4 linked regions of the Drosophila melanogaster genome follow. The protein of the gene in region 3 interacts with the protein of the main gene of each other region in a pairwise test. Each region holds a gene or a part of one and is shown on either strand. Other genes may lie near its edges.

Region 1 (4,525 bases), on a different chromosome or scaffold from region 3:
ATGCCCTGCCATGGCATGTGTTCATTGTCCAAGAGCAGTTCATGCCTGGTTACGCATCCCTATGTGTGTGTGTGTGCCAGTGAGTGTGTGTGTGTGTGGTGGGGTGCAGGACAGGTCGGGGGGCAGTTGGCATATCAACTGGTCGGACATGGTGTAAACACGTTTAATGTTGTTGCCATTGTCGTTGCCGTTGCCATTGCCATCGCATGGCTGCAGTTGCTCCTCCTGGCAAGCTGGCTGGCTGGCGAGCCCTCGGAGTCACGGAGCCATGCAGCCATGGAGCCATGGAGCCACCTAGCCACGGAGCTCGTCCTCTTCTGGCGCCGTCTCCTTTGCCACGTTTAATTTAATCTACTGGCCAAAGCTGCAGCCGCTACCTTGACATGGTCTGCACTTCAATCTGCATGCACGGCGTACAGTGGTGCCTGGCTATATCCAAACTGTTAGCAGCCAACAAGCTAGTTTCGAATTGTGTCTAATTTGTGTAGAAGCATCACAGCACAGTCAGGCGTTTTAAGGGAAGCTAATATCTTCTATTTAGGATCAGTACAATAAACAATACAAATAATAACAGTTATATACTTTAAGCGGTATCCACTGTAGTTTGCGTCCTGGCTGCTCGAGTGCACCGCAGGTCCATTTAACTTAGCTTTGGCAGTGGCAGTTAGTAGTAGTAGTAGTAGTGGCAGTGGCAGCGGCAATGGGGTTCCAGCTAGCTGGCCACCTTCTCCGCTTCCTCGACTTGGTGCATCACTCAAATGCCGGGGAGCCCCGCAGGCCCCCAAACGAGGCGACAGGAATGCGTGTGTGTAGCAGAGCGTGTGCAAGTATGAGTGTGGGCAACGTAATTTGCATGGTCAGCTTGCAGTTTTGGGACACACAGAGTGGCAAGTTGTGCCTCGCTCTCGTCCCTGGCTTAATTGCATGCAGGAATAGCAACTGCAGGAGCAGCCTCATCAGCATCGGCAACTTCATCCAATTGCCGCTGGAGCTGCGACCCACAGATCCATACAATTTCCGGGCTGTAAGCGATGCGGCTCTTTAAAGTTCACTTATTAAGTTGCAAGAATAGCAGGAAAATTCAACCAAAAGTGGGCCAGTTTGAAAAATATCAAGAATATGCCAACGATACTCACCTACGCTCTGCCGGGTGATTATGCTGCACGTGGTTCGACATGGTCCGTGCTCGTTATGCGGAACATTACAACAACAAAAAAAAAAAATTTAATATATATGTAGGTACGCAAAAAGTGCTGGATTTCCTTTTCATTTGTTTTCCACACACACTAGACAGACATTCGAGTTGAAGTCAAAATCAGACAATGTTCCCTCCATATGGCTCCATATCACATTGGTCGAAAAAATGGCAAGCTTACAAATGGCGCAGTCCCCGGCTGCATAAACGATGTCATTTTTTGGATTGCCCAATTTTTTTTTAGGTAGCTTGCGAATCATTTGCAAGCGATTTAATTTCAATTGCATGGGCGTTAATCAAAGGAAACAAAAGCCAACACGGGAAAAAGAACAAAGAAAACGCTAGTCCACTTATTCGACAATGTAAAAGAAAGCAGAGAGTTACTATTAATGCAGCAAAAAATGAGCAGGAGCAGTTCAAATAAAATCTTTCCAGTAATTTTCGATTCATGGACCAAAAACCGTAAACAAAAAAATCGTTCTATTTTACATAGTGAAAGTATGTTTTCATCTATTTTTTATCAATCTGAGCAAAACTACATATAAACATAAATTATTTATATAATATTTATATTAAATTATTCCAAACATTTTATTATACCATTTATATATCGTCATCCTTATCAAATCTTATATCTAAATGTTTTTTTTTTTAATGTGTAATGTGTTTTTCCTATTTGGTTTTTTGTGTGCTTTGAATTTAGGCGCGCAACAAAATGAATAGCAACTGTTTGGTATTTTTATGTCAGATTTTGTACCAACTAAAAATCGTTGACATCTACTACGTTTCAACGTCTGGCCACTCTGCACGAATGCAAAAACAAACTGAAATAATTTTTTAATACCATTTTTCTTCTTGGCGCGAATTGGCTACAAAAAAAATGAATGGATCGCGTAAAATAAAGTCCATGAAGACGATTCGCCTTGGCGACGTTCTATACGACGACCAAAAACGACTTCTAACGCTGTGCCGCAGCTGCGAATGCCACTTTATGACGCTCCAATCGTTCCAACGCCACCTAGCCGATTGCCCCGGAGTAAAATACATAGTAACGCCGATCGAACCGCTGGCATTTGATGATGCCAATCGGGAAACGAGACTGGTGAATGGCAGACAGGAGGTAGGCAGCTAAGGGAGCTCCATGATCCGGCGTTGCCCTGAAAACTTCCTGAGAATCCTTTTGATTGAACTCACTTCTTGCAGATTCACATCTACGACCTGGAGGCGGTTAAGAAGAACACCAACACGGCCATCGATTGGGAGGCAGAGCTGGAGGATCCACGCTGGTACACCAATCCCAAGCCCACCGTGCAGACCATACCAAAGACAAATTCCAAGGAAAATATAGTAAAGGAGGATGTAGTGCCGCTCGCCAAGGAGCCTCAGGAACCGGAAGGGGTGCCTGCGAAACGTCCGCGTAGCCCTCCCACCACCCGACGTACCATTCTGACCTCCCAGCAGCAGCGCAGATCCCGTGCCTGCTTGACTTCCCCTCAACCGCCAGCAGTAAAGATGAAAAAGGCCATCATTCTGGTGCCCACTGTGCTGGAAGATCTGAAGCGATTGCAGGACACGGAGAAAAAGGAAAGGATTCCAGAGGCACCACCAGCTCCTGTACATCCTGTAAGGTCATTGCAATCTCGTGCTACCGGGACAACGCAGTCAACATCTCAATTGGTACCCATGAAATTTTCTCCTGCATCGAAGCTTATTATACCAGTCTCTTCAAGGATATCTGAAGTACCAGAACCTCCCAAGACGCCCGAGAAACCAGTTCCTACCATAACAAGCAAATCAACTCCTCCATTGGATGGCACCCAGAAAATCCTAAACAAACTCAGAGCATGCGGTGTGGAGGTGAAGCGAGCAAGTACCCAATTGAATGCCACGACTGAGCTAAATCCAACCAAAAATCAAGAGACCTTGGACATCATGAGAAAACTGCAATCCAAGGGCATCAGATGCACCAAAGTAAGAAAATCGTAGTTGTATTCGCCGTAGTGTAAGGATGGTGCCATTAAATGTGCCTCTGGAGGCGAGGATTTAGCAATATAACTTTATTTAATTTAAATGGAGATTAATAAATTCCCGGATAGCGTTTATAACTTTAATAGCAAGCGAGTCTCTTTATTATCAAATCGCTTAATTTTAAATGTTTTATTTTGGTTTTTTTGCTCAAGCAGTGTGACCTTTTGATGCGACAACGTTATCGATTTAATATATCGACTATACACTAGTGGTGGCTATTTAGCTTATAAATGTATTGAACTATATTAAATAATTAAAACTATATATCACTCAAACAATGCCGTTTAAATACTTTGAAGACGGTAATCACATGTTCCATACAAAATGTTAACAGTCCTAGCTTTTTTTATGTTGTCCATTTATGTAGCTGAAAAGTTGGCATCACTGTGTAAGAAGAAGAAGCAGCTTGTTGATTTTTGGTGCCGCACGCGTTTCGGTCGAAAGTAATTGGAAATATTTGTGCTTGCGCCCGGCGTTATATATATTTTGTAGTACTCGAAACACTGCCGAATCCAAATCCAAAATTCGCGTGTGCACACCCACCTGCCGAGGCGGTACCAATTAAAAGGTAGGTCAGCTGACGACGATGGCAGCCAATTCGGGCTTACATAATTTGGGGACAGAATATTTATTTTGCCACCTTAGATTTGGCATTCAATGCAGTGAAAATGACATCATTTTGAAATTTTTAGAACCGCTTGTGTTTTGTTTGGTGAATTTTATAATATTTGCAATATTTCGGCTGCAGTTGCATCATTGACAGCGAACCTTAAGTTTAGTTCTCTGTAAAGGTCACCAAGCCCAGACTTAAAAAACAGATGTTTTTTAACAATCTTGGTACGTCCCACTACTAAAGCACTTATAATTTAATATACATTTAATCCGCCAGTAAAACACCTATAAATTTGAATTAGAATTCAATTTTATTCTCATTTCAAGTTTCAATATTATTTCTATTTCAAATACTTGTAGTTCATTTCCTTACTTAACTCTCGGGCACCGAACAAAACTGCATTGCATTTTCCTTTTAATAATCCACTACATTTAGCTTTGAGAGTTTCAGGCTTAATTATCTAATTGAATTCGTTACATTTCGACACTTGTTTTTATTCAGAGTTTCATTTTCGTGGTATTTTTAGGCTAAACTACTTAGTGCATGTGCCCATTTGAATTAAATTAGTGAGTCTACCTGGGTTTATTAGTTTAGGGTTTTAACATTAACTTAAAGCTGCTTATTGTTTGCATATCATTCAATCCTTTTCTTTTTAGCTCTCTCGAATCACAAAACATTTACATAGTTAA
Region 2 (4,624 bases), on a different chromosome or scaffold from region 3:
TATTAATATATATTGTCTGCGAAATTAACGAACAGTTAAGCTCAAGTAGCAACAACGAAATTTACTTTAATGTTTTGAAATATATATAACATTAATTATTTACCATATTACTTTTCTCATCCCTAATATAGGCGATACTATCGAATGGGATCAGCTGTTTGTCGATATTGAAAATTTTAGTTTAGAAAAACAGAAAAACGGAACGACGTAGGAATCCAGTAGCAGCTGTGCGTCAAAAAAAACTAGTCGTCTCTACTTTCAAATAGGCAATAGATTTAATCTGAAAACAAAATTCAACGTAAAATTCTAAAGCCACATAAAATCCGGCATTATTTGAAAGCGTCTGCAGAGCACAGCACTCCAAATCCAGTTCCGCCATCCAAGGTAAGCACCATTGTCGTCGCATTGCATCTCGCATCCAAAATAGCACTGATTGCCAGCAGATTCTACGCATTTACAGAAGCATATGATATAATAATGTCTCGATCATTGAGTCGCGTATTGGGTACCATCTGGGCGCCATCCCTGTCCATTTCACATACCGTACATCGCGGATCCAACAGACTGAACGACCTACTGAGCACCAAGGTGACCAACACGGCCATCATTCCGGTGGCTAGATACTCCAAGCGAAATGGCCCACCGTCGGATGCCGGCGGATACTTTAAGACCGTCAAGTCGCGGGATCTCGACGACGACGATGAGCTAAATAGTTTGGAGAGTGAGCCCAACTGGGAACTGACCGCCGAAAGAGGCAATCGCTTCTATCTGCCAAATGGCATTGGGCCCGCCTGGCAGGGCGACAGCACCACCGTCGGTCTGCTCGAGCCGCTTGGCCACCTGGTTAACTTTCACAAGGGTCCCAATACGGACAAATCGCGCCTGGAATTCACCTGCTGTAAGTGTCCCCTGCTTATCCGTGTGCCACTCTTGGAGATCTTCCCGGTACCCGTCGTCGCACAGCAGTGCATAAACATCACCATGCTTGTTCTCAGCCACGAAGGAGACATCGAAATGGGCGCTGCCAAGGTGAGAAATCAGTTTTATTCACGCATCCACACTGTAGCGGGAAATCACACTGCAGTGTATTTGGATGAATTGGAGGAATGACCTCGTTATTGCTCTGATCATTTGTTTATATACAATCAAACCAGTTTAGCACGTTGAAAGCTAGGTGGGTTGACCTTCCTTAAGTTTGGCACCCAATTTTAAAGTAAGCCATAACATTTTCAATCATTTGTAATAAGTTTTAGATTTGGGTTGATGAATGAGAATACAGAGAAGTTAGTTTGTTGGTATTTACCTATTATCTAAACGAGTATATCTACATACATAACTAATGCCAACTACCTTTGCAGTTTGTCCTGGCAGCGCGGGAGATGTGCGATCGCCTGCTATCGTACGGCTACTGGGCGGACTTCATGAATCCGTTTAGCGGACGTCCATTCTTTCTACCACGGGAAGGGGCTAATCTATACAGGCTGGACTCACGCTTCCGTGGTCTAAACATGCGGCTTTCGGAACAGAACCGTTGCACAGTGATTTCCGCCGAGAAGAACGACAGCACCCGCTTCTCGGGCACCATCTATAGCACAGCGCCGAATCACTATGGGCAGCTGATGAAGCTGCTTGTGCCGCCGCCGCACAAGGTTGCCCATTGACGCGGATGATCAACGAAGTGGTTGCCATTGGAGTTGGACTCCAAATGATGAAGCCGTAGCCTTTTAAGCGATGATGACTGTGTTAACTGTTTAGGTTTCCTGTTCCGACACTGTATATAGCCGACAATGCTGGTGTTATATGCTGCGAAATATAATCGATAAGAATTTGAAGAGCTTGTTTCCCTAGACCACGGCCATCTGTTGGCAGTGCCGCTCGATCTCCTTGAGACGATTGATTAGCGACTGCAGCTCCTCGGCATTGCAGACAAACTCAACGATGGTCACCCGCTCGCCGCTGCTCTGCCGAAAGTTGCCCAGATTGATGTGGAAGCAGGCCGCGCCCGTGCTGCAGTCCGAGGTGGAAGACTTCACGTCGCACACGATGCGCCACTGGATGTCGGTAATGTGCGGAAAGCTATGGCCTATTTGCAGTTGGCGGAGAATTAGATCCTTGCGGCTGTCCTCGTAAACGCGACTCAGCTCGTCGACGGCAGCTGCATCGAGGTTGAGTTGCTCCAGCTGCTGGCGCAATTGAAGGCCATCCCAGCCGTGCTTGGTGCCCAGGGCGAAGAGGGTGACCACCGCGTACTCGCTCTGTTTGGCGCAGGCGGCGTTCTTGGCATACAGCTCGGGCACCGGAGCAATGGCTGTGGGGGTGTACATATTAGGATTAGGTCTACGCGAAACACCAATTTCCAGCTTCCAACTCACTGGCATCTGGATGGAGCGTCAGTTTCAAGGAATTGGCAATGAGCAGTTTGGTGAGTGGCAGCGAAATGATGGCACCCAGGTTCTTTAAGCCGGCCACCACAGTGGGGGAAATCAGGGCAGTTTGCTCGTCGTCTGTGCTCAGGGCGGAGGAACTTCCCGGCAATGTGTCCATGTGTAATAGTTTAAATTTCTTGGATATTTATTAAAACAAAGCTATATTTATAAAATTAAACCGCTTGTAAACAAGATATGCGCCTAACAGCACAGCTAACGGTCTTAACAGCAGCTTTTAAGTGTGAAATGTTACTGTTAAGGCAGTGCGGCCTCGCTAAAGTTGAAAAGAGAACCAAGTCCCGTTCATTGGTATGTCTATTAAAGGGTATTGATTTACAGATACAACAAATAATATCCAACGATTTAAATAAAGTTGAGCTGTTGATAGCAAATAAATGGTTTGGTTTTACAGATAGAAATAAGTGTGCTCAAGTATTTAGCTTGAATGTCAACATTTCCCAATTGTTGTTGTCGATGTAGCGCAACTAAAAATTTAACAGAAGAGAACCGGAACTAGTTCCGCCAGCCATGTTAACTCCACCTAATAATTTATTGATCCAAATGCACTAATTACTATTTACAAATCCCGGCCCTGCTGCTACACCCTGTAGAAGCACTCCCTGGCCTGTGGCTCGCAATTGTCGTAGGGTTTCAGCATGGCATCACCGTGAGCCACCTTGCCGCCGGCATCGATCTCGTCCAGCTCCGCATCCGGCACACAGGCGCACTGGAAACTCTTGTTGCCGCGACTGTACAGCTTGCGCGGATAACCGATCCAGGAGCGCTCCTTGCCATCGCCACTGGTCGTGGTGCACCAGACGCGAGTGCCGCGCTCCTCGCTCCACTCGATATTGCAGCCGGGATACCGGGCACGCAGCTCCTCCACCTGTCGCTTGGCATCTCGTGCCTGCTCCAGCAGCTCCAGAAACTTATGATGATAGGTGGTCAGGGCGCCCTTCTCATCGTAGAAGCGCCCAATTACCCGTCCCTTGTAGACGTAGTCCTTTTGATAGAAATCCCGCCATCCGGCCAAACCAATCAGGTCGTCCGGCTTTAGGGTTAACACATCGTCGGCCGTTTCCGGATCGTACGTCTCAAAATCACCGGAAATGAAGGATACGGAGGCGTCGCGACCCACGAAGAAGTTGTAGCTGCAGCCGGATCCGTAATGCTTAATGCCGCGGCTCACATCGAAGACGGAACCGAGTAGAGCCAGGTAAAGCGGACGACCCTCTTCCTCGCCATTGAATTTGGCCAACTCGGCCGGTGTAAAGAGCGTGCCGATATCGTCACCAGCTTGGAACGCCAGGGGAATGCTCGCATCCTGCCCAGCTTGGTCCAGGTAGTTGTCCGTTTGGCGACGCAGGAACTGCCTAATCTCTGTGTGATAAATTCCGCCCAGAACGGCTGCCACAACGAAAAGAAATTGAAATTTGAACAGGTGTCGCAGCAATCCGAACATCTTGCCGTTTAACAGTGCGGAACCGAAACTGGTTCCACTTGAAATTGAAACTAGCGTACGGTTAAGGTGACCATGCCAGATAACAGACCGGAAAACCGGTTTGAATTTAAAATTTTGTATTTTCATTCTATGTATAATAATGTAAGTTTTTCGATTAACTCCGTTATTTATTTATACTTTCGTACACAAAAATTGAACTTTAAAATAAATTCTTTCTAAAATGTTAGCACACAAATCACACTGCAACAAGCAACACTGCAAAAAAAAAAAAAATAACTAAATAACATTTGGCATAGAACATGCATAATTTTTATTTGCAGAATCCAGGTAAATAAGTTTGTGTTCACCTAGCGACGACGGTAGACGCAGGCGTCGATGTTGTTGTTCACCTCCTGGAGACCGAGCACCGCCTGCGAGGATGCGGAGTGGGTGCACACATTGCCATCGGCGAAGACGTCCGGGATGCGTTCGCTGGTCGACTGACGGATGGTCTTGATGGAGGAGCGCGCACTGACCAAATAGACGGTGGCCTGGACATAGAACTTGGCCAAGCAGGTCTGCTTCAGCACGGAGTTCTTGTACGAGTTGCATTTGTTGTAGGTGCTGGCCAGGCTGTAGCCACCGTAGACCAGTTGCTGGGTGGCGGCACTCACATCGGAGGCAATTTCGGCGGATGTCTGGGCGGCCACAACGCCGCAGGCGTACAGATCCTCATGGGCGGCATTCACGATGCGGG
Region 3 (5,629 bases):
TTGATCAAGCGCTCCCTGCGCTTATGAATGCTTTTTTCTAGGTTCTCTGAGGTGGGAAGTGGTGAACGGGAGCGGGAGCGGGATCTGGATTGAATCCTTCCGACAGAAGGCTCCCGTCCCCTTTCTTCCAAAACAGCACCAAGTGCAGAGCTTTCAAGTGGTTCGTGAACCATGGGTAAGATCGATTTACCATCCCTGGCATCATCGGCTACAGTTTGCACTTGAAGTTGGTCATTTGTAGATTCGGTTTCATTCAAGTTCGACTCCAGAAGCTGAAGTACAGACTCGCAGTTTAGTTCGCCTGCCATTACACCTTCCTGAGTGTCGTCGTAAACCTCCAGCGACCGCTCCGTGTCCCCATCCATCAAATTTGCCACATTCTTGGGAGCTGGTGAGGGATTTCGCGATGCCGAACGGGATCTCGATGGGTTTACGGATGCGGTAAAGTCGTAGAAATCGCTAAGTCCTTCCATTAGCAATCCGTACTGATCCCGCCAAGGAGCCGTATCCGGCTGCTGGACATTGATGGCTGGTGCTGTTCGCGGTGGCTGCTGTTGCACTGACTGCTGCTCCTGGCTGGCGGACCAGCGCTCCGGATAATGCTCCATTTCATCCATACGTGGACTGCGTCGCAAGCCAGGTGAACCACCCCTTGATTGCTCCTCTGCTGCGATAGAGGTTTGCAGCTTTTTGGGGGAAAGGTGAAGCGGAAAAGCAAGCGGAATGTGGGAGCAGTAGCAATATGAAAAGCAAAGAGGTAAAGCAGTTAGGACAGTTAGTTATGCGGCAGTGGTGTCTGCGATTGGTGGATTAGGTTGTGGTCGAAATTATTGGGTGAGAAATGATGCCAGGTGTCTGTGCTACGCACTTACATTGGATTTGTTGCTGTCGCTGGTATCCACTGCTTGCGGGTTGTCCTTCTCCGCTTCTTTGTCCTAACACACACATAATAAATCATTGATATAGATCCTCGGCTTGTAGATTCATTTACTCACCAACTGCTCCTTGGAAAGTTGTTGTTTTAGGGCAGCCACTGCCTGTTCGTTTTGTGCCTCAGTGGCCTCTTCAAAGGAGGACGATTTTGGCTCATTTGTAGCTTCTTCCTCCACATCCTCTCCCCTGGATGGTCTTTCTAGTTCGATTTCCTCCTCGTCTATGGAGAGCGCTTTTTCCCGCTTCCAAAACTCGGTATCCTTATAATGCTCCGGCACAACCTCACCCCAGGGATTTGTGCTCTCCTCACCGAGCATCTCTAAGGATGTGGTCGACTCTGCCGTTGGTCTAACATCCTTTGCTGGACTCCTTTTGTGACGTCGGTGGGATTTAACCCTCAGGGTAGGTTCGCTCGTATACTTGATGGGGTTATAGTCCTCTCGGTCGCCGTGGCGCAACTCCTCCTCCTCTAGCGAGGTGAACATCTTTAGTTCTTCGTCGCGGGAGGCTCGCGATTCCCGCGAGGAGTTCGAGCTTCCACTGGATCGTCGCTTCTTAAAAGCCCTTCTTCTCCCTGAACCATCCTCTCGCATCAAAGGACGATTCTTAATGCCATCTAGAGAACGAAGGTAGTCCTCGGTGTACTGGACTTCCTGTATCTGATCTTCTCCTTCAGGTTCTGGGCGTTCACTTTCGATTCTGTTGCCCTCATCAGAGGGCTGCGTGCTGAAGGACGACTGCTGGATGGAGAACGGAGTTTTGGGTTCAAGAGAGGATCCTTCATCCGATACGCCAGGGAAGGTGAGTGTTTTTGACTTTGCTGAGTAGGCGTCTTCAGGACCACTTCCTTGACCAAATTGAGTTTTCACTTTATGCACCATGGGTTCTTCTGGAGGCTCCTGAAACCTGGGTGGAGCCACTTTCTTCACACACAGCTCCTCCACCACGGGTTCCATGCCAGCATACTCGTCTGCCTCCTCTTTGCTGTGTGAGGCTTGAAGTTGGCGCTGTTGTAACATTACCATCTCCTCTTCTGCCTCAAGAAAGCGTCTGGCGTTTTCCTCAATCATTCGCTGTTTTTGCTCCAGATCAGTTCTGCTGGAGATCAGGCGACGCGACTGCTCTGCGATGGCAGCATCCTCCTCCAGTTCGCTCTCTGTAGCGCTTGGACTGAGCTCTCTTTCTGCTGCCAGAAGACGCTCTACGATCTCCGCATCCCTCAGTGCTTGCCCTTCTTCGTCAGCTTGATCGCGCTCTCGCTGAATCTCGGCATCAAAGAGACGACGCTCGGCTTGCGCTGCCTCGGCTTCAGCCAGGATCCTTTGTTGTTCGGCTCGCTCCTTTTCGGCTTCGGCCTGCTCTCTCTGACGCTCTGCCACGACGATTCTTCTTTCGCTTTCTTCTCGCTCGCGCTGCTCTTCAGCTTCTTGCAGTCTTCGCTCATTCTCCTCCCTTTCCCGTTCGGCATCTATCAGCCTTCTTTCGTTTTCTAGGCGTTCTTTCTCCTCGTTTTCGCGCTGTTTACGCTGATTTTCTTCTGCTTCTAGCTGTCTGCGTTCGGCTTCTCTTTGTTCCTGCAGTTCTTTCTCCGCCTGCTCTCTTTCGCGCTGTCTTTCCGCCTCTACGAGCTTTCTCTGCTGCTCCTCCGATTCCTCTTTCTCCCTCTGGACTCGTAGTCTTTCTTCTACCAGCTTGGCCTCGGCTTCGGCCAGCTGACGCCTCGTATCGGCTTCAATTTGCTGTTGACGTGCCAGTTCGGCTGCCAAAGCTTGTCTTTTATCTCCAGCAGGATCTACTCGTATTCCATTGACATATAGGACACCATCCTGCATGACATTGGTTCCTGCCAGGGCTTCCCTTTCCGCCGCCTCCTTGATCTGCTTATCCAATCGCTCTCGCATGCGAGGCAATTCTTCTGCGTCAGCTGCTGCATCTACAGAAGAATCGCCGGGATGTTGGAAAGTCCAGTGGTATAGATGGCGCGCCACAAAGGCGAATTCCAGGGCACCTAGGTATCCAATTAGCAGCGAGAATAGTAGCTCGCCGACGCCGGTTAGCGCCGTCTCCTCAGCGGCCATTGCGTAATGACCAGAATCGAAACGGAATCCGAATCCTCCAACGTTCGCCGATGCAATGAGAGTATGTGTCGACGAGAACCGAATCGGCTAACACGTATTATATAAAATATATTCACCACGCACTCGAAAATTCACACCACTCACGTTAATGGCCAGCCGATTAGGTAATTCGAAAAATATTTATTTCACTTTCGCTCACAAATCATTGAACCAATCATCGATATATATTCATTTATCTACGTTTTGAGACGATTTATGAGAGCGCGAAGCAAGAAGAATCGGAGATGGGCGGACTCGCCAGGCGGATGCAGTTGCTCGGGCGGCGAGCTCTTGTTTTCCGCTAATCGATCGTCTTGCAACTGATTAATGCCCCAGCCAATGCCCATGGGTCCCCCGATTTCTAGAGAACAAGTGAATCAGCGGCGAGAGAACCGCCAAGAACCGAATCCGTTCAAATGGCAAACGGCGCTAATTGACGGCCAGCGATGAGAGCAAAAGGCCTGTAGAGCTGACAAGACATCGCCGACTTTTGTCGCTGGCAATTTGGCAACACAAATGTATCTGCTTCTGTCCGCTGCCGTTGTTGCACTGCCTTGCCTCCGTGTCAAATGCCAAAGCAATCGGAATTGGCCAAAGCCGATTTTCTAATCAGTTTAGTCGACACCCCGCCGGCCGCGCCCCCTTTTCGTTTGGGGGGAACTATTTTTGGTCTATGCTTCGATTGCTGTTTTCCACAAAACACTTTTCGCCACTTTCTGCTTTGCTCGCCGTTTTCGTGCGGGAGAACAGTTAGCGACATGACCATAAATCGGATAGGGAAAATCAAATGCAACTGTCATTTCGATAACATAATGAAGAGTTTTTTAATCTCAAGCAAGTATCAAGATTTAGGGATCTTTTCTTTCCTATCCTTTTATTCAGGTTTAAAAATTCAATTTATCAAAATTAATCAGAAAATGTTTCTTTTGATATTTTAAAATAATAAAAAATCAAGTATTTTCTGAAAAACATGATCTTTCTATACTGCATACCACACATATTATTCAGACGCACAGTTGGCTGCAATAATATACAGAGCTAAGGTGCCAATTTCCATAAAAATGCTTAATTTGGCATTAATGGTCACATCGTATCTCCGATTTTAGAAAAAATAACATTTAAGAGTACAATGTTGAGATACAATTTTGTTTATAAAATGCCCAATTCTTTTGTTTATTTTGCCAATAAAATTTGGTATTCTCGAAAGTGGGAAAAATATATTTTAGCATTCGTAATTCTTATGGGCATGACTTTTACTGTTCCTGGTGTTTGCAAATCAGTTTTCTTTGGCATTGCCAGCGCCTGGGGCCAGGGTCGCCACGCCCCATTTCGCCGCCTCCGAGCGGATTGCACACAAATGTTTGCCATAAATTTCGTCTTGGCACTGACACTAACATTGCCAGCAGCTTTCAGAGGCTCTTTATCGCCGATTTCGCTGTGGTTCTCTTCTGCGTTTTCAGAATCAGTATAATTATTGTCAAACGCGGCATAATTGTGTTCTTTGCCCCACAAAGCCAAACTATTTTTGTATTCTTTTGTTTATTCTCATCATCTGATTGTCATTAGAAATTGTGGCAAAAATAGATAGATTTATATGAATAAATGGGTCATCTGGGCTCTGATATATTCATATGTTTATTTTGCTTTTCGCAACGAAAGCGAAAGTGTTTCTGATGGTAATTTAAATTTATTTTGAATAAATTTAAACATGGTTTTTTGTACAATAACACCGAAAGGCGACAGACAATGCAATTTCTTTATCCAACATTTTCTAATTAAAAATCGATCAACACGCATATAAAAAAAATTTATTTACTTGCATATTACACCCCCAATCTATTTAAAATCAAAATAAATGGATAAAGGATATTTTCAATCGAGCTAAAGCAGTTTGTGCACATCAATAACAAATTGCGAATACCTGCAGCAATTTTTAGCAATCTCTAACCTTAACCGAATGCCACAAATTTCCGGCTCACTCGCAATGAACTTCCGCTCGACGGATGACAACGCGTCAACAGCCAGTGCTGCCAATGAACTGCCTTCATTTCTTTGTTGCCATCGCCACTCGCGAGTCGCTGCATTTGCGGAGCTGGAGGATAGATATCCCCGGGATCCCCGACTCCCACAGGCAGCCAAGTGAAGTTCAATGAAAATGCCATAACCTTTGGAAAGGGCGATTGCCGCACCTATGCAATAAACGTGAACTGCGTGCGGCGGGCGATAAAAACCAGAGCCCGTGACAGCGAGCACTCACTCACACGGACACTCTTGATTTGCCAGGCGACACACAGATACCATCTGCAGACGTTGCCCCAAAAGTGTGCCACACAATATTTGTCAATTAGGGATCGGATAGGTGGGGTTATGCCAAAGACGACTCACCTCATCACAGCCAGCGCAGCGGGGCTTCAGCATTTCCGCATAGTGGCGCTCGCAGTAGACCTTGTCGTCGTGGACGCAGTAGGTGAGGTCCACGAGTAGCGAGTTGCAGGTGCTGCAGGTGAAGCACTTTGGGTGCCACATCACGCTCTCCACAAACTTGGGCGCCGCCACAACTAGCTCGCCGGCGGCTATCT
Region 4 (4,812 bases), on a different chromosome or scaffold from region 3:
ACTTGTCGCAGTTGTAGACGATAGTGCCAGGATGAAACTACAAACGGACGAAATGAGTTTATCAGTGCTACTGCGTTGTTTGCGTCAAATTCGACCTTGCCACTGTAAACAATAACAAAGGGGAATCGAAAAACAAACCTCTTCGATTTCCCGGACCAGAGAGGCCATCGATTCGGCTCCTGATAGAATTCCATGGAGTATGACCACCGGTTTGTAGGCCAGTGAGACGGAAATGGACGAGCAGGTTAACAGGGCCACCAGGACTTGCAAACGAAGTCTCATTTTGTGGGGAACAATGGATTTCCGACTGTTGTTGTTGATGTATCCGTATCTTTATTAGCCGCTCTTCTTCTTGCTACCCGCTTTGGAAATTCTGAAAGTGCGGATTTGAAATCCGACATGCGAATGGCAATGTATGGGTTGCGAGCGCAATTATGAGCAGAACGAAATTTGAAAATGCATTCGAAATTTCTCGAGACTTCATTGTACAATAATTGGATGAATTTAAAATACGTGGTGTGCATTTAAAAGGAAAGGTTTATAAAATAGGTCCCATAAATTGGATGGGTACATTCAAATAAAGATAAAATGCAATATAATTTAGCGGACCATTAGAAACACAATTGAGTTTGCATTGGGTGCTTTAAAAATATAATTATATATATGCTTTTATAATACAGTCTGATCAAAATAAAAGTATGAAGTACAAATTACAGCAATGAGATTGTAGAAGCCATTGCAAATAACTAAATTTCTACGCTCCTTGGGCTTTCCTAACTCCAATAAAATCCCAGAGATCGCCGAATCTTAAAATAATGCTCGTTTATTCACTCTCAACTTACACGATCGTCGTTATGTACTTTGCACTATTGTGTCTTGCGTAAATTTAAGTCTAGGCGGCGCATATACGCTCCGCAATTAATATCTACGCTCTGTGGCTGGCGATCCACAGACTCGTCCTCCACATCGCACAATTCATTTGTCATCCGGGGCCCGGAACAAGGTGATTTCAGGGTATATCAAATATGACAACACTTAACAGTTTAGACTTAGGGCTAGGGCGGCATCTCAACCTTTTTGCTTAAGAGTTCTCGATCTGGATTTGTAGCGGTTCTGTTCCAAGTTACGTGATTCGTTCTGCGGCCGGAGATCTAGTAGAAGAAGTCCAGCCCGTTCCGAGGGCTCGAACCTCACCCGGCCACCTCCTCGCTGACAAAATCCAGCTTGACCACCTCTGCGGGCAGGCACTCCTCCACGTCCACCTCGTTCTCCTGGACATTGATGCGATTGAGGGTCATGGACACGTCTGGTCCGCACTTTAAGCCTGCTGGCGCCCCTGCTGGCGATCCTACTGTCGCCGCTGCCGCTGGAGGATTGGAGGTGCTAACCACATCGTCGGCAATCACCACCGTGGGCGAGAGTACTGTTGGAACAGTGGACACTGCCGACACAACGGGCACCACGATCTGCGTCGACGAGCAGGTGGACACCATATGTGGCTGCTGCACCACTGTCGCCGTAGTCGAAGTGGGCTGCTGGATAATGATGTTCTCCGTGATGGTGGGCGTGTTGTTGGCCGTCGAGGCTGCAGCCTGGGCTGCCGCTAATGCCGCAGCCTTCTGCATCTGCTGGTACTGCTTAACAGTCACCGTCGTGCCCGTCGTAGTTGTATTAGACTGTGGATGCAGGATGATCTGCTTTGGCTGCGCCACCAGCTGTACGTGCTGCACGATTGGCTGTGACTTGAATACTTGAGGAGGTGGCTGCTGAAGGGGCTGCTGCGGCTGCTGTTGTGGCAGCGTCTGGAGAACGTGTTGCACCTGCTGGACGGGCACTTGCTTGGCGGGAATGCCGGCGTCCTCGAAGGCCTTCTTCTTCAGCGCCTGGCGGATCTGAGAACTGCAATGGGGAAGGTCAATTAAAACTAGCACGTACACACTGGGCAGCCGGTTCCCTCGCCAGGAGCACAGGATCACTTACACGGTGCGGTTCTTGATGCTTAGGCTGATCTTGGTCAGGTCGTCGGAGAAGCGCATTATGGACGAGTGCAGCATGTCGATCTCCTCGTCCGTCCACTTCCTGCAGCCGTGGCGAGGGAACAAGGCACACAGAAACACTCCGATTAGTGTCCACAAAACTCGCGACTCCACCGCATAGAATCAACTTACCCCGATGGCGACTCCGCATTGGGATGCAGCTGCATGGTTAGATCGCCCAGTCTGCTGAACGCCTGTCCGGCGGCCGTGAATATCTCCCCCACCTGCAAGTGCATGCGGATTTGCATCCGGAGTCAGTTTGTTGTTACCGCGTGCAAATTCAAAACAAACGCACCGCCCCTGCCCACCGCCCGCCGGCCCACTCACGGTGGAACAACAAATTTCCCACTCGCAGGAGTGAGACAAACGAATGACTCTCGACTCTCTCCCGCGCCGCCTTTTTCTCGCTTGCAACGCGCGGAGGCGCTGGCGACGGGATCAACGCGGTCGGAGCTGCCGGCGGATGTGGTGGAGCGGCTGAACCTACCTTGATTGCCGAGTTCATGGCCTTTTTTCGCGGGGCGCTGTTTTTTTGTCGTAATTTTACGTAGTTTTGCGTCCGCAGCTATTCAACACTGACGCCGTACACAACACTCAAGCGGCCGTCAATTTTCCAATGCACAACACTAGAATATGTATTTGCGCTACTATCGACTTATCGATTGGTGCAATCGGGAATTCAAACAAGAAGCGTTATGCTTATTTAGATTTACATTTAAGTAATTTATGTCTTTTATTATTAGAACCAGCAACTTATGCGAATCTGATTTTAACATTAAGAAAATGTAAATAGTTTATTCAATGCTATACATATGAACCAAATATTATTACACATGATGAAGGAAACATTTCTTAATTAACAATATTTAACTATTTATCGAATTTAACTATTAAACAAAAACCAGCATAATACAGATTTAAATTTAAATACTACGATCACGATTGTTTTTGTAATTTTTGTATTGATAGTATTTGACAAATACTTAGGGCGTAAATATAAATAGAAAACTTTATGATGTGGAATTCCACCGTTTGCAAGATAACACCTAACAAAAGAAATCCCTAATACTTGGATAACATTAATCATCTTTTTTATCATCGTTGAACTCAACGTTTTGCCTCCAGTCCGAACTCAGTCTTTGTTTGCAGCTCCGCTGCTCGCAGTGGCAATTGCCACCTGCAATATTAGTTAAAACCACATAAAGTTTAGACGATTTCGCGGCCAAGCAAACCTTAACTTACCTAAAGGAACGGTCGTAGTTCCGCCGTCACGTAAGTCGTTTCAGCAAAACTGCTTACGGTTCTCATCGTAGGCCGTCATCCGTCGATTCTTCCGCTCCGCAGTCTCTAGGCTGCTGGATTTCTTTACGAGAGAAATAAAAAAAATATTACATGCTTGAAATTTAGAAGATCATACGTACCTTTGGCACACATTCAGCGGAATTGCAGTCCAGGGGCTTCTTTGTTGCTGGAACAGCTGCAGGAGTCGGCGATCCATTCGAGGAATTCAACTCAATGGACACATCGCCTCCGTTCACTTTTTGCGTGTGTAAAGCCGGCAGTTCGCGCTTTAGCTTAGCCAGGAGCTCGGTGACTGTGCACAACTTCTCCTCAAGATTACGCTTGTCTTCTAACAGGCTAGAGATGGTGCCGTCCATGCGTTCCTTCTCCGATCGAAAGTTGATTTCCCTGGTTTTCTAGGCGATTTAAAGAGAAAACATTAAGCTATTTTATAAGAGCCTTTGATTGCAATTATTCTACCAGAGTTGATCGTAGTTCTTCGTACTCCCTCGTACGTTTATCAACCTTCTGTTCCATCTCGAGGCTTCTTTTATTGGCCGCTTCTATGGCTAAACTTTGCTTAATCCATGCCTTTCGCAGTGATGTAAAGGCGGTTTCATTGGATTTCAACTGGGCGTCAAGTAGTGCGTTTTTCCCATTCTTCTCATTAATAACAGTCAGCCTTTCCTCTAACTCTTGTTTATTCTGTTGCAGTATAAGTTCCTTTGATTCCTAAATAAATATTTCATTAGCGACCGAATAACCTACAAAGACAAGTCTAATATTACCAATGTTGAACGGAGCTTTTCGCAATCCTCTTTGAGCGCCTTGTTACCCGAACTCAACTTTTCCTCCATCTTGCGGTTTTCCTCCTTTAGATTAGAAATTGTTTCATCCAACAGTTGCTTTTGCGTTTGGAAATATTCTTCTTTGGATTGCTGAAAAATTTTAATTACCTATATTGTAATCAACCAGATAGATTACCAGATTAATTATTACCAGATCGGAACGTAAGCTCTTGCACTCTTTTGTGAGATCGTGAAGATTCTTCTTCATTTCGAGATTTAAATTATTTGCTGCTGTTATGTCTGATAGATAATTTTTCGAGGTTTCTAGCAATTGCTCATTATGCAACCGAAGATCGGATATAGTCAAGTTCAAAGTTTCCCTTTCTTTTAGGAAATCATTAGTTTGAGCTTCCTGGTATAGAATAAAATATAATAGAATACAAAAGTGAAGGCGTTAAATAAATAAAACTTACCAGATCGGATCGTATATTTTCGCAATCCTTGGTCACTTCGCCAAGCTCCTTGGATCGGCGATCGATTTCTACTTTCTTGGCTCGAAGCTGCTCTTCGAGATCGAGTTTGGTTTGTTCCAGTTTGTCAAAATCTTCTCGTAGAGAGGAATTGAGCTTTCGCTCCTTATCCACCATGTTCTGTAGTTCCTGAGCATCTTTTAGCTTTCTTTTAAGCTCTTCATTTCTAGACTCTAG

The links.
Region 1: the proteins of Lmpt (region 3) and CG10265 interact in a two-hybrid assay, tested with the Drosophila melanogaster proteins (one large-scale study listed by BioGRID).
Region 2: the proteins of Lmpt (region 3) and CG12106 interact in a two-hybrid assay, tested with the Drosophila melanogaster proteins (one large-scale study listed by BioGRID).
Region 4: the proteins of Lmpt (region 3) and CG33695 interact in a two-hybrid assay, tested with the Drosophila melanogaster proteins (one large-scale study listed by BioGRID).

The regions. Positions count from the first base shown.
Region 1 is NT_033778.4:14,991,302-14,995,826, reverse strand, and holds CG10265 (uncharacterized protein), read left to right. Parts: upstream 1-1,991; 5' UTR 1,992-2,075; coding exon 2,076-2,315; intron 2,316-2,398; coding exon 2,399-3,181; 3' UTR 3,182-3,304; downstream 3,305-4,525.
Region 2 is NC_004354.4:9,191,956-9,196,579, reverse strand, and holds CG12106 (uncharacterized protein), read right to left. Parts: upstream 2,683-4,624; 5' UTR 2,545-2,682; coding exon 2,373-2,544; intron 2,309-2,372; coding exon 1,845-2,308; 3' UTR 1,662-1,844; coding exon of another isoform or gene 1,359-1,661; 3' UTR 1,247-1,358; downstream 1-1,246. Other genes in the region: CG12118 (uncharacterized protein), read left to right, coding at 478-1,029, 1,359-1,661; CG12056 (uncharacterized protein), read right to left, coding at 3,025-3,888; CG12057 (uncharacterized protein), read right to left, coding at 4,236-4,624.
Region 3 is NT_037436.4:16,897,435-16,903,063, reverse strand, and holds the start of Lmpt (limpet), read right to left. Parts: upstream 3,650-5,629; 5' UTR 3,012-3,649; coding exon 996-3,011; intron 936-995; coding exon 873-935; intron 687-872; coding exon 1-686.
Region 4 is NT_033779.5:11,275,842-11,280,653, reverse strand, and holds CG33695 (uncharacterized protein), read right to left. Parts: upstream 2,634-4,812; 5' UTR 2,542-2,633; coding exon 2,524-2,541; intron 2,504-2,523; exon of another isoform or gene 2,285-2,503; coding exon of another isoform or gene 2,261-2,284; coding exon 2,169-2,260; intron 2,080-2,168; coding exon 1,981-2,079; intron 1,900-1,980; coding exon 1,191-1,899; 3' UTR 807-1,190; downstream 1-806. Other genes in the region: Ppt2 (Palmitoyl-protein thioesterase 2), read right to left, coding at 1-37, 139-282; cana (CENP-ana), read right to left, coding at 3,319-3,399, 3,458-3,733, 3,798-4,049, 4,106-4,255, 4,317-4,517, 4,579-4,812.